Drosophila melanogaster: one gene and its partners. The gene in region 3 interacts genetically with the main gene of each other region. Each region holds a gene or a part of one and is shown on either strand. Other genes may lie near its edges.

The links. Genes that interact genetically often act in the same process or in processes that back each other up.
Region 1: of Lgr3 (region 3) and Ilp8, changing one suppresses a phenotype caused by changing the other (phenotypic suppression), as found in Drosophila melanogaster (4 studies listed by BioGRID).
Region 2: of Lgr3 (region 3) and rpr, changing one suppresses a phenotype caused by changing the other (phenotypic suppression), as found in Drosophila melanogaster (one study listed by BioGRID).

What each region holds. Positions count from the first base shown.
Region 1 is NT_037436.4:17,029,310-17,034,046, reverse strand, and holds Ilp8 (Insulin-like peptide 8), read left to right. Parts: upstream 1-1,966; 5' UTR 1,967-2,149; coding exon 2,150-2,161; intron 2,162-3,139; coding exon 3,140-3,338; intron 3,339-3,762; coding exon 3,763-4,004; 3' UTR 4,005-4,235; downstream 4,236-4,737. Other genes in the region: CG7730 (uncharacterized protein), read right to left, coding at 4,456-4,737.
Region 2 is NT_037436.4:18,397,033-18,400,378, reverse strand, and holds rpr (reaper), read left to right. Parts: upstream 1-1,943; 5' UTR 1,944-2,143; coding exon 2,144-2,341; 3' UTR 2,342-2,844; downstream 2,845-3,346. UniProt on the Drosophila melanogaster protein: Activator of apoptosis, as well as grim and hid, that acts on the effector Dredd.
Region 3 is NT_033777.3:25,663,879-25,668,823, forward strand, and holds the start of Lgr3 (Leucine-rich repeat-containing G protein-coupled receptor 3), read left to right. Parts: upstream 1-1,930; 5' UTR 1,931-2,111; intron 2,112-2,934; 5' UTR 2,935-3,276; coding exon 3,277-3,364; intron 3,365-4,945. Other genes in the region: RASSF8 (Ras association domain family member 8), read left to right, coding at 60-370, 432-777.

The DNA of each region.
Region 1 (4,737 bases), on a different chromosome or scaffold from region 3:
TCCACCGAACCACAACGGCCAGCGCACACATTCCGAACCCAAGTCGGTGTTCCCAGAACGTGCCCGTTACCGTTATGCGTTGCCGATCGGATCGACGAGCGCGAGAATGCACATTCCGAAGGATACGTGCGAAATGCGGGAGAAAATGCAACTGCGCAGCAGCATTGCGCATACGCCACGAGGGCCGGCTAACATTTCCGCATGCGGGAATGCAACGAAAGCGAAAAGCAAGTGGCAAAAAAAAAGAAAACAGCATAACCAAAACGAATGTGGAAACGAAACCGAAACCAAATCCGAACCGAATCGGAATCGGAATCAGAAACGTAACAATCTGAACCCATAAAAAGTCGGCCGAAAGTGTGCATTGACCGAGAGAGCGGCTAAAAATATCCGAAAAAGAACGTAACACAAACGATCTGATAAAATAAGAACGCACGATGATGACGCCCGATCCAGAACAACCGTTAAGTGCTCCACCCCAAATGATGCTGCAACAGGGTGAGCGAAAGAGAGGGCGAGCCCGATACCGAAAGAGACAGAGGCAGAGCCGAACAGAAACGACAGTGAAAGTTCTACACTTTCGCTTTTTCACAGAACCCTGCTATCATACGAAAAGCAGCAATCGTAGAGATAGAAACCTTTGGAAATACAATACATAGTACATCAGCAAATGTGCGGTAACTTTATATATTATTTCTATATAAATCTGAATGTTTAACAACAATTTCGCTGGCCTTCCATTTTTTATTCACAACATAATACAATTTTTTTTTTTTAATGAATTCATTTTTTTAGACTTTGAACGAAATGCCCCCTATATGAACATTAAACTTTACTGTTTATTGGTTTCTGCAACCAGTTTTTTAAGAATGTTATGTTATCATTTAATTTCAGGTTGAATAAAACACCATGAGGTCCATTGGAATATTATTCAATGCAAAAATTTCTTAAGCTTTCAAATGTCTTAGCTTTCCATTGCTCAACGAACCTGTCATTCTAGACTCTTTACTTATAGTAAACAGTAGTACTTTGCCACTGAAAAAGATGGTAAAGGCATTTGGATCATTTTTTAGCATGCTAAATGATGAGTGAGTCTGGTACAAAGTATGATTTAACAAATGATTACCGCATTAAAGCTAATCACTGTTGTTTTTCTCGACTTTCAATGGGAAACGCCAGTCAACAATTTCAATTTTACAGTTCTTCAAATTCTACACACAATATTTGAATGGTTTTATGGGTCTGTTCAACTTGTTTATGGATCCACATAAATAAGCAATCATATTAGAGAAGCATGCACGGCTATCAAGAAGTGCGTTGCCCTGGTTGGAAAAGCCCCGGCAACAAGGTCCAAGTTTTCACTTTCACTGCCACCATCGGCCGTCAAATCACCAGTAGCTATTACTACCTTATTACATTGCCAAGGTGCGCTGATAAGAGTGTTTTTAGACTGTTCCAGCTAACAGTATTCGCCTCGGCTTTATCAAGAGCAGCAGCAAGTCCAGCAGCATGTGACTGTGACTCAGTGAGTCCGCCGAGTCCATTTATGTTGAAATTCGTTTAAGATCGAAACGGCGGCGCCATGAAACTATAAATGCCAACTCTTCTGGTCTGACGTCCGTTCCGAGGCCCATTGATAAAAAAAAATGTATATTTCTGAATGCTCGGCGCGCCCTGCCGCTTACGCAAAACTCCTGCGAGCGGATCCCGATCCCCAAAAAGCCGAGACCGAACCCCATAACCCATACCCCATACTCCATACCCGAAACCGAAACCGAAGAATTACAAATCCCGAAATCTGCTCTCTCTCTCTCTCTCTCTCTCACCCCCATCGCCCATTCCCATTGAAAAGTGAAGAGCGGCTGTCTGAGCGGCAAACTGAGCCGATCCGAAGCGCCGATCCTCGATTTTTGAGGCGCGTATAAAAGCTTGGCTACGTCGGCAACGAAAGCTCATTGTGCGCTCGCCGCTCGTGATTATCAGGTAACGTCGATCGGACGGACGGGTTAACCATTCAGCAAGTTAGCTCTGCAGCAAGTTTGCCCGCCAAAAGAAAACACGTATACGTAGTGTTGCAGCCAGAAAGGTGATCGACGTGCCTACTGATCTATTGATCTATTGAGAATTGTGATCCTAGAACGCCACTAAAATGAGTTCAAAGGTGAGTTCGAGTTGAAGTTAAACTCTTATTTTTGTTTTTTAACTATTACACTAGCATAACTAATTCGTGTAGCTCTTTAGCATTATAGTTGGTTAGTTGCTCAGCACCAAAGCATTAAACATCAAACATTCAGTTCTCAGAATGATTTCATACACCAAATTATGCATTCCTTGAAATCATTGTACTGAACTTAAACATTTCCAGTACAAGGTGGACTTTTCCAAATTGAGTCCAGAAATTTTCCAAACAAATAACTGTCTTCTAAGAACACTCCACTTTAATTACTTAAATTAGCTTCGCGCCACAAAAAAAGTGGGTGTGTGCAATTAACAGGCTGTCAGCTAAAAATATCAATATCCAATATAAACAAATGCGCTTTTGTTCTCCGCGGGCAAGAGCATAATGCCCGCATCGATTCCGAATCGGATTCATATGGCGGACTGGAGTGCTAAACAGACTGGAGTGTCACCGCAAGGTGCGATATACGAAATGCGAAATGCAAAATGCGGAAATGCCTACCTGCGGGGCGCATTACATAATTTCCACTTCAGCTCCAGATCGCCGTAATGTCGGGGAAGTTTCGGTCATTAAAAGCGGCAATTAAAATTCACCATTTGGCCGCGTCGACTTGCAAATGCGCTCCAGTTTATGTTTCGATCTTGATGCGATATTGACCCAGTTAATGGGCGGCATACTCCGGTGCGTGGGAGTCGGCGACGTCATCCAGACATCCCGGCATCCCGACACCCGGCTGTCGTCATCCGAAGTGGTTAATCCAGATGTGTCCAGAGCGGCGATCCAGATTCACATTGAAATGCCAAAGCAGGGCAGAGTGCAGCCGGTTAGAGGATCGTTGTAACACTTATGCGATAAATTCTGAACGTCAGCGATTTATAATTAGGAGCCGGAGGCCGGTTGGGTGTTTAATTTGGAATATACTCATACTCACTTGTTGTTTCGCCCGCTCCTCCATTGCAGTTGCATATGTGCCGCTGGATGCTGCTGGTCATCGGAGTCTGTTGCCTGATGGGCAGCTCGTCGGGCAGCTTCTGCTCCCTGGAGCGGATGAAGAAGTTCGCGATGGAGGCGTGCGAGCACCTCTTTCAGGCGGACGAGGGTGCCCGCCGCGACAGAAGGTCCATCGAGTTCGCGCACCACCATCTGAATCGACTTGGATGTAAGTATCTAGATCTAGATCTTAGATTTTAGAGCATAGTGTGGCACTAGGAAAAAAAATGTTTAAAAATATTTCGGATAAATTTAAAGATCAAATTATTATAATGCTTCGTTATGACTTTACCATTTTTAAATTTTGTTTCCAACTATAATACTTACGTTTTAAAATCTCAATTAAACAATATCCACTGAACATCGATAAGGAAAAGATTAAAATATTGGATTAGCGAGCTAATAAGGTCAGAGTGTCAGTCAACCCGACAATTGCATTCGGAACTGCATATCGAAAACACGTTTTTTTTTAAGTGTGTAGATTGCAATTAATACGGCATTTGCATAAAGCAGTTCCGATGCAAAAGTTAACCGACTTCAAGGCGCAGGTTCAAGATCAATTTGCTCACTGGCAACGTTTTCCCCCTTTTCAGCCGGCAAAACGCACAACAAGCATCACTACATCAGCCGAAGCAGCTATCCAATGGGTGGCTACCTGAAGGTGACCCGGGAGCACTTCAATCGCCTCAGCGAACTGGACATCTTTCCGCGCTACAAGCCCATCAAGCCGCACCACGAAAAGAAGCATCGCTTCAAGAGGGATCACTCGAGCAGGTCCTACAACAACATTCCCTACTGCTGTCTAAACCAGTGCGAGGAGGAGTTCTTCTGCTAAGAGAGCTCCAGTGTCATGCTCCATGCCCCACGCTCCAAGTCGGTGCCATCTGGTCAGAATCTTCTGAATCCGTCCATAGTTATAGTTAGGCTATTCATGTACATTCTACAAGTCGCGCTCACTCTTATAGAGTACCTTATTTGTGCCCACTCCCAGGGACACAGATCCATTTACAGTATTTATACACTTAGATCGATTTTGAATAAACAATCGAATACGGCAACTGATCGGAATTAAAGTGTTTTTTATAAAAATTGGTGGACAGTTAAAACTAAACAAACATTCAGAGAATTTAACAGCATATTAGGTTTAGAAGACGCATATAAAGGCTTAAAAGATTATTACAATCCTAGTACAAATGAGTCACGATGGCTAACAAATCTTTGTTGTATCACAATCTATTAATCACTAAATCACTTAATAAACCGACAGCTCGAACCATGGAATCAGCTTATATGGAACTAATATAGTAGGCGCCTTTGCAAACGTTGCATTTGTACTTGCGGCAGTTTTGTTCGCCAACTGGCTCCAGTGATCGAAAGTACTTGGATACCACCATCAAAATATCCTCACGTTGTCTCTGAAGGAAATCTTCGCCGAAGTCATCAAAGGTTTTAACGCAATGCATTAGAATGCGATAGAGGACCGCTTCAGTTGATACGAACGTATTCAGCGAGCGATCAATGTAATCCACGTTCTCCTCTACGAATGTGCGGGTCATCTGCATTAGAAG
Region 2 (3,346 bases), on a different chromosome or scaffold from region 3:
CCCGCTGGAGCAGAAAACGCTGTTAGAACGTAAGCCACGCCCAACTGTCCCGGATTTATATATGTTGTATGTGTGTGTTGACGCGAACCCGGAAAGAAAAGACTCATGAAAAAATAACTATAGAGTCGAATGGTTCTGCTGTGCGACTAGGACGGCAGTGTGAAAGAAAGAGAACGAGCACGCCCGGCCGAGGAAAGTAGAGTAGTTCCTTCAACAATAGACCTAGACATCAGAGCTGTGGAGAGGTGGTCGCTATAGACGATGACGCAGAACATCCCCCAAAGTGATGGCTATTCTCTATCACAGTGGAAACACTTGAGACGCACGTCGTAAGATTCGGCTGTTTGCCTGTGTGTGGGTACGGTATTACGGTACTACGGCTTTGTGGGTGGAGTTTGAATGGAACTTAAAACTCATCGCGGTTCTTTGGGTGGGGTAAAAGATTTTAGAATTATGCAGGTGGAGTTTCAAGAGCTAATTTTCTATTACATATATATATGAAATTTATTTAAACATCATAACGAAATTAAGAACAAAACAATAGTATGTTTATGGGTAATCCGACTTAGATACGATGAAAAATGATGAAATATGTATTTACGTCATTAAAGAGAAAGTTTCAGTTGAGATTTAAAATGTAAACGACCTATATATAATAATGCAGAATATATATTATTAAAGATAATTTCAATAAGCTTCCTATATGTTGGAAGAATACATTGTTCGGATATCATATCCATCAGGAAGGCAATTAATAATACTTTAAGCCGCAGGGAAATTTTCGTGTATGATTTCCAACGAAAACATTCATATCGTATCATATCATATCCGTCTGGTTCCGCTCTAATGAAAATGAATAAAATTGCACACGAAATATAATGGGACGAGCCCATTGTTGTCAATATACTGTATATGGCCTTTAATTTATGACATTGTCATAATTCTTAGTCGGAAGCTTCGGATGATTGTGTAAACACTTGTAGAGCGCGAGATACTGATAAAGAGGGATCTATCTAGATATGGCAGGTGGGCTGGTCCATGGAAAAGAGAGAAAATAATTCAAGAAATGGAACGGAACTCTTCCTTGCCCACTTGCCCATATTTCAAGTGAATCCGCCTCCCACTTGTTATAATACCCTTACAAGAAGCTATTCTGCTTAATTATGTAAATAGTTTGTACTTTAAATGTTGTACTATTAATAGCATCAATGTGTCCAACCTAAAAAATATTGGTTTTATTTTTCCATCATTTTTAGTTGGAATTTTCTTATTAATTACAATTCAAGAATTTAATCATATTATAGAAAATATACTGGCGGTAATAGCTAAAAGGACTTTTTGCTGATTGACATAGATGAAAATAAATATTTTTAATATTTAAGAAATGAAATTCGAAGGATTAATATGAAACCGGCTAGATGGTTGTACTTGGCTGTTATCAGGTATCCGGCTTAGTTTAGTTGCTAATCACTAATGGGTAGCTAGTGTAAATAATGTTAATCTTAGAGGGTATTCCAAACTTTAGTCGTGAAGCAACTCTTGTATGTCTTTCTCTGTCGAACTCCTTGATGAGAAACGATTGTCATGCCCCGACGATTTAATACAATTAATATGCTAACTGTACTTCTCGCCGCACACAGTTACAACAAAGGCGCTGCCACCAACCTGGCAACAACAACACAACCTCATACAAAAACACGCTTGGCAACAGGCGCAAGGTGGCCCCGCCCCCGCTCACGATGAAAAGTAGTACTTTTTTGGGAGCTGCGAATGAGACGATGTCAACAGAAATACCAAAACAAAAAAACCCCAGCCAGAGAGCCGAAGAGCGAAGAAGGCCAAAATGAGCAGCCACCACCAGAAAAACAGAGAACAAGGCGGCGTGAGAGAACCAGGTATAAATAGCCTCGGAGCACTACTCAATATATTCAGTTGAAAAGCAACCATCGCAGCGAACGCATCTCGAAAAAATCATTGAATAAGAGAGACACCAGAACAAAGTGAACGAACTCGAAAATACGAAAGAAAAGTGTGTGCGCCAGCAACAAAGAACTAACTCGATAAATATTCATTGTGCAGAAGAGAAAGTTATTGAGTCACTACCAGTTGTGTAATTCCGAACGAGAAGAAAGATAAACCAACAATGGCAGTGGCATTCTACATACCCGATCAGGCGACTCTGTTGCGGGAGGCGGAGCAGAAGGAGCAGCAGATCCTTCGCTTGCGGGAGTCACAGTGGAGATTCCTGGCCACCGTCGTCCTGGAAACCCTGCGCCAGTACACTTCATGTCATCCGAAGACCGGAAGAAAGTCCGGCAAATATCGCAAGCCATCGCAATGAGGATTCGAGTAACTAACAAATACGGGGAAAACCAATAGTCCAGTCCAAAATCCAGAGTACAAAGGAAATAAGCATGAGCCAACCCAAAACCCAAACACAGTCACCACTCATCAGCCGACGGCACTCGATTTCTACTGCAGTCAAGGACACAGAGCCACAACACCCACCCAATTTTAGTTTACTCATCAAAGCGATTGTGATAATGGTTTTGTTTCTACAAAAAAGCGGAGGAAAAATTTGAAAAAATAACGTTTTTATAAAGTCCCCAATTTTTTACAAAAATGTTTCAATGATATAAATCAACTTTTTTAGAAATAATTTACTCTTAAAGCCTATTTAAATGAATTACTACTGTAATAGTTTGTAAGTTCTTTTGTAAGACGAGTTTTTCTAAGTTTTTTTTAAGAAGAAACCCCAGAAAAAAACGAAGATGAGTCGAAGTTGGCTAAAAATTGCATCAATTTTTTGTCAAACAAAAAGTCAATAAAACAAAAACAAAAACTAAAAAAATTGTTGGTTTTTCATTTACTTAAATATTTTCAGATTACCATTTATAAGATTTAGATACAAAAAGCGAAGAAAGCCTAAGATGATGTCTCGAAAAACTGAGTTTGGAACAAGCACATTTTTTATTTCATTTCGCCGACGGTAAAAGGAACTTTCTAGAAGGCTGTTTAATAATCAGTGAAATTATCGGTGGTTGTGAAAATTATTTTACATGTGTTTGGTTAGGAAACGTTAAAGATTTTTTTTTGTTTTGAAAAAGTTTTTCATTTGATTTCCGGCGTTCGGTGACAGAGTCCGCTTTGAAATATATCTTAATAAAATATTAAGATTGATATTGCCGGAAATAATAATAATAATAATAATTATAATAATAATAATAATTTAGTTATAATAATATTAATGCAAGCTAATTTCTTGAATTATTGTAGAACGAATATAATTATAAATCGGTATTACATATAATAGAATCTTAACCACATTATTTTTAGTTTTGATATA
Region 3 (4,945 bases):
ATTCAAGTTTCTAAATTGATTTGGAATGTTATTATTTTATTTTTGTTTTATCTGCTTAGTTCGATACGGAAATAGTTTATTTGGAGAGCAAAGAACGCGACCACGCCCACGAGTTGGATGCTATTTCGCGTGAGATTTCCAAGGCGGATCAAATCTTTCGGCAAGGAAGCGAACAGCTCCAGACTCTGCAGTATGTGGAAGAGGAAAACGAATTGGTCAAGCAGCAAGAGAAGACTTTGAAATCAGAAATAGCTCTACTGCGATCCAAGCTGGCCAATTGCGAAACAGAGCTGCTACAATGCAAGAACAAAATGCGCTTGCTGATGGATGACATTGAGCTGGAGCAGCAACATCAACAGCAGACCAATAGGTGAGTGCATAGCAATTTACTTGCTTTGTTTTAAGTTTTTCACACTTCTTGGTTGTTTCAGGCAAACTGTGGAGCGAGACTTCTTGATGGAAATGGAGCGCATTCAGAGTGAAATCGACCAGGCTCTGCACAACACTGACACTTCAAACAAAACTGCAGATAGTTTAAAGAAGGAACTACTCATGATCGAGCATGCCATCGCGGACAAGAAGCGGCAGGTGGAGCAGCTGGTCAACGAGATGAAGGAGGTGAATTTGCAGAGCCTGACTGTGACCACCACGGAGGAGATCAAGCATCTATTGGAAGGACCCAACAAGCAGGGCAGCAGCCGGCGGATCATCGGTTCGCCCAGGCAACTTGAAACGGCGGTTCCAACCAGTAAAAATCCTCATGGTGTGTGGGTTTAAGTCACACATACCCAGAACTATTTTTCTAAACGTATTTCTCCTCCAACAAAATAATGTTTTTGGGAACAAATTGATCAACATATCTTGAATGCATAATGGAGTTGAAACGAAATGGATTCCTTATGAATATCACAATTTTAAACAATATTCTAAAAATATTTACAATAATTAACGTGCTTGATTGTTGTTTTAGTATGTTTACATTCCAATCACACTCTATGGATCTCTCAATGCAATGATATATGTTACAAATTTGAAATCACAATCGTTTTATTACTCTACATTCCGCACTGTACTTTGTATTTAATAGTAGTTAATGAGTCCCATATTCACATGCCCTAATCTTAATTTTGTGTGCTATACTTTTGGTTAATTTTTGCTGCTAGTCTACGTGTTAACAAAAACCCTTTCCAATCTCTACAATTCGCCATTAGTTGTTAACTTGACAATGAATTTTAATTGTTGCAATAATTCGAGAGTATCGTAATTTAAAAACGCCTTTCTAACGAATAAGTAGTGCCCTTAGTGATTTGTCTCCTACAGAATTATTCATTGTAGAATTCACAATTCGAATTACACAAAACTTATTGTACTTAGCAATTAGCGCAGCTTTAAAAAAACAAATTAGCAATGCTTTGTTGAAAAGTTTAACTTTTAAAGTGCTTAGCCTTAGCCACCGGATATCGAAACAAAAGACCGAAGCATTAACAATTGCAAAGGTATCAAGCATTAGTACATACATAATTGCTAGCGTACAATTAAAAGACAACCCACAAGTCGCTTTGATGTATTATGTTTTTAATTAGCAATATTTAATATTTACACAAACTGATGATGATAGTGAACTACAAAACACCAACGGAAATGCAATTTATCGAATATTATATATTACTATTACATTTAAACTAAAAACGATTTAGAACAAATTGTAATTGCATTACATCTAATTAGCTAATAAATACATTTTTATGATTTTCTCGAAACGAACTGTCTGTATTTACATTTGGTTTTGGTCTTTTGAAACACCACGAATTTTCCGCAAATGAAATCAACGGTCAGCCCGAAGTCCTGTGCCACACGAAGCTAGCTGCTCGGCCGCTTTTCTTGTGCGGAGGGAAAAACAAAATCAGCAACACATGCTGCCACCAGCTTCAGTTGGCCGCTGTGCTCGAACGCGTTTGGTCCTTTTGTCCTTGTCGATATCCTTCGCTCGCGACTCAGACTTCCTGGCGAAGCGCGCGCTACTTTCAATTTTCAAAAAGTGTCGCCCAGTGAACGGGTCAGTGAAAGTGGCCCGTAGGAAATAAAGAGGCAAAGGAGCATACATTTGAATGGTCCGTTTTTGGGGGCATCCTATCGCATTGACACAATCGACAAAGTGGTCGAGGGAGAGCGTTAAAGTGGCCCGCCAGCAAAAAGGACGAAGGAGCGCTCCGTTTTTATGGCCCTCTTCCACACCAAATGATGTTCAATTGCGATGATTGCGATAATGAGAGTCCCAGTTTCTCTGTTTTGGGGATCATGCATCGCCGAGACAATGTGACCTTTTGCGGAAATTATGATTTGTCTCCGGCTGACCTTGAGCCCCCCCGCTGGGCGATGTAACCCCCCCCCCCCCTTGCCGCCGACTCAATTAAGCTAAATTTAATCAGCCGGACAAGAAATGCTTCGGAAAAGGACCCTCTAATGCCGGTCACATATTGCACTTCCATTTCGTAGTACATTTGGCAAACCTATAACCTTGAGTTTGGCTTAATGTCTTGCATAAATTGGGGAACCAAGTGGCTGCTTAAAAATAGAACCATTCCGACTGGAGCCAACTAAAATTATTCATTTCGATTTGCTAGACTCAGCGGGGCGAACAAGTATAGCCAATCTTTATGACTTCCTTTTAACTTATATCTTGGTTTTTTCTTGCATCACAAATTTTAGTTATTATAGCAGCTTTCAGACGCGTGAAATAATACTTTTAATAAATTTATATCCCCAATAACTTTAAGCCGTCTGTGAAACTTAAGCCCGACGTCTGTCAAAATGGCGCTTTATGCATATATTTTTTATGGACACCAAATCAATTTTATCCAGCGCTGAAATCGAAACCCCACCAAGTGGAAAGCACTTGCCATCCGAAATATTAATTTTGAACTCCCGCTCCAGCTCCCAATCCTCCTTCCGCTTCATCAGCTGTGTAATCCTGGCACTTAAAACTCTTCTCCGCGAGCTGTGAACATTAGCCAAATGAAGTGACAAGAAATTAACGCAAAAATAAAACAAGAAGACGGAGCGGTATAAGAAATAATAATATAAAAACTCAATGAGTCAGCACCGCATCAGCTCCTGCTGCTGTTGTTCTTCTTATTGCTGTTGTTTGTGGGGGCGTGGCCGGAGTGGGAATTGAGTGCTCCTAATGATGAACTCGGTCAAGGAGCCAGTGCAGCCATGGTGGCCAAGTAATTAGATAAGCGAGCGTGCAAAACAGGAGCAAACCGATAAATCGCCATGGTCTACGGCAGGAGCATCGCCGTAGGCTTCTGTCTGATGACCGTCGTCCTTCTGCTGGCCGCCGTGATATTCTACTTGAGTTTGGGTGAGTCCTTAGAGTGATGTCCTTTCAAAATTCCATCATTCGCAAACCTAAATAATTTCTGAATCAAGAATGTTCAAAATCTTAGCAATTATTATACGCATAATTTGTGAAACTACTTAAAGTTCTTTTAAAACTTGAGCTGCTGTAAATTTCTATATATACTTTCGTATCCTTAAAGGGTTCCTTCGCTTGAAGCAAAAACCAAAATCAAATTCCAAACTGCAAAATGGCCATAAATTTTATACTCAAAAGTATTTGAAAGTAATTTGTTGTATAATACGATAAAAATAAGGCAACAAGAAACAAAAAACGGGGCGCAAAAAACAACAAACGGCTGACCATAAAAAAATAAATACGAGTACGGCGCAAACTTTGTCTTGAGCGCAAAACAATTTTCGCACATCCATCGATGGATCCATGGAAGTATGGGTATAAATATATATTTCTGGGCCTTTGGTCCTGAATGTTTTGCTTCCTCGTTCGAGGCTTTTATCTTGTTTTACGAGTATCAATATCGAGAAATTCGCACAGCTATATTTTTTATGCCAATTTGCGTATTGATTTGCCATGCCACATCTATGGAATATGGGCGAAACATGTTTGATTTATGCCCTTTTGTCGCCTCGGATTCCGAGTACATGCATCACGACAAATTATTTATCTGCCAGATACAATTTGTCCTGGCTTAGGTTTAAATCAGCCACGGAGCAGGAAGTTTAAAGAGGAAAGAGCCAGGATTTGTGTGTGAACATGTGGCCTTGTCATGGACACAATGAAATTGAAAGTCTCGCCTAATGCACAATGCTTTTGTGTGTGAATCAGTGCTTCCTAATGAAGTTACACATACAAATATGTATGTATGTATGTGAAAAAGGATATGAGGAAATAAATTTGTGCAGCTTGATGTGAATCATATGGCTATTATCTTGAACGAAATGCATTTTGGCTTAAAGCTTAACGAATGAAAGATTAATTTCAATTCACTTTAAATGCAGATATCAAATCGAATGCACTATAGCTTATGTCTAATTAAAAGCATTCACATTGAAATATCTTTATTTACACAGTGCCATGGCAATCGTGCAAAAGGGTAAAGTTATTATGAGATAAATGAGCCAGCAACCCAAAGAACATGTTTCTGACGCAATCCGTGCAATCGGATTAAAAGCTCCTCAAGGTGCTCCACTTCCAGTTTTATTTGCTCATTTGTCTAACGAACTATGTTCCATAATCTAGTAATTTGAATTGCTCAATTTTCGGAAGGACTCTCAACGCATGGTACCCAAACAAATCGTAAAAATGATAAAATGCAAAACAAGAATGTCATTTCGTTTTACGACAATTACCCAAAAAAAAAAGTTGTAGGCATTCAGGCAGAAAAAGTCTCGGTATAAATTAAGGCCAAGAGTAAGAAAATTCAATTGTTAAAACTTAGCTCAACTTTTGAAGTGAAATTAGCTGCAATAGCACATTAATTTATTTAAGCCAATCATTTCGATGTCCATGTACTTGATTTAAACGCTCGAAAAAGCATATTGCTAACAAAGCAAACCTCTCAAAAATCAATGTCAACTTTGCACA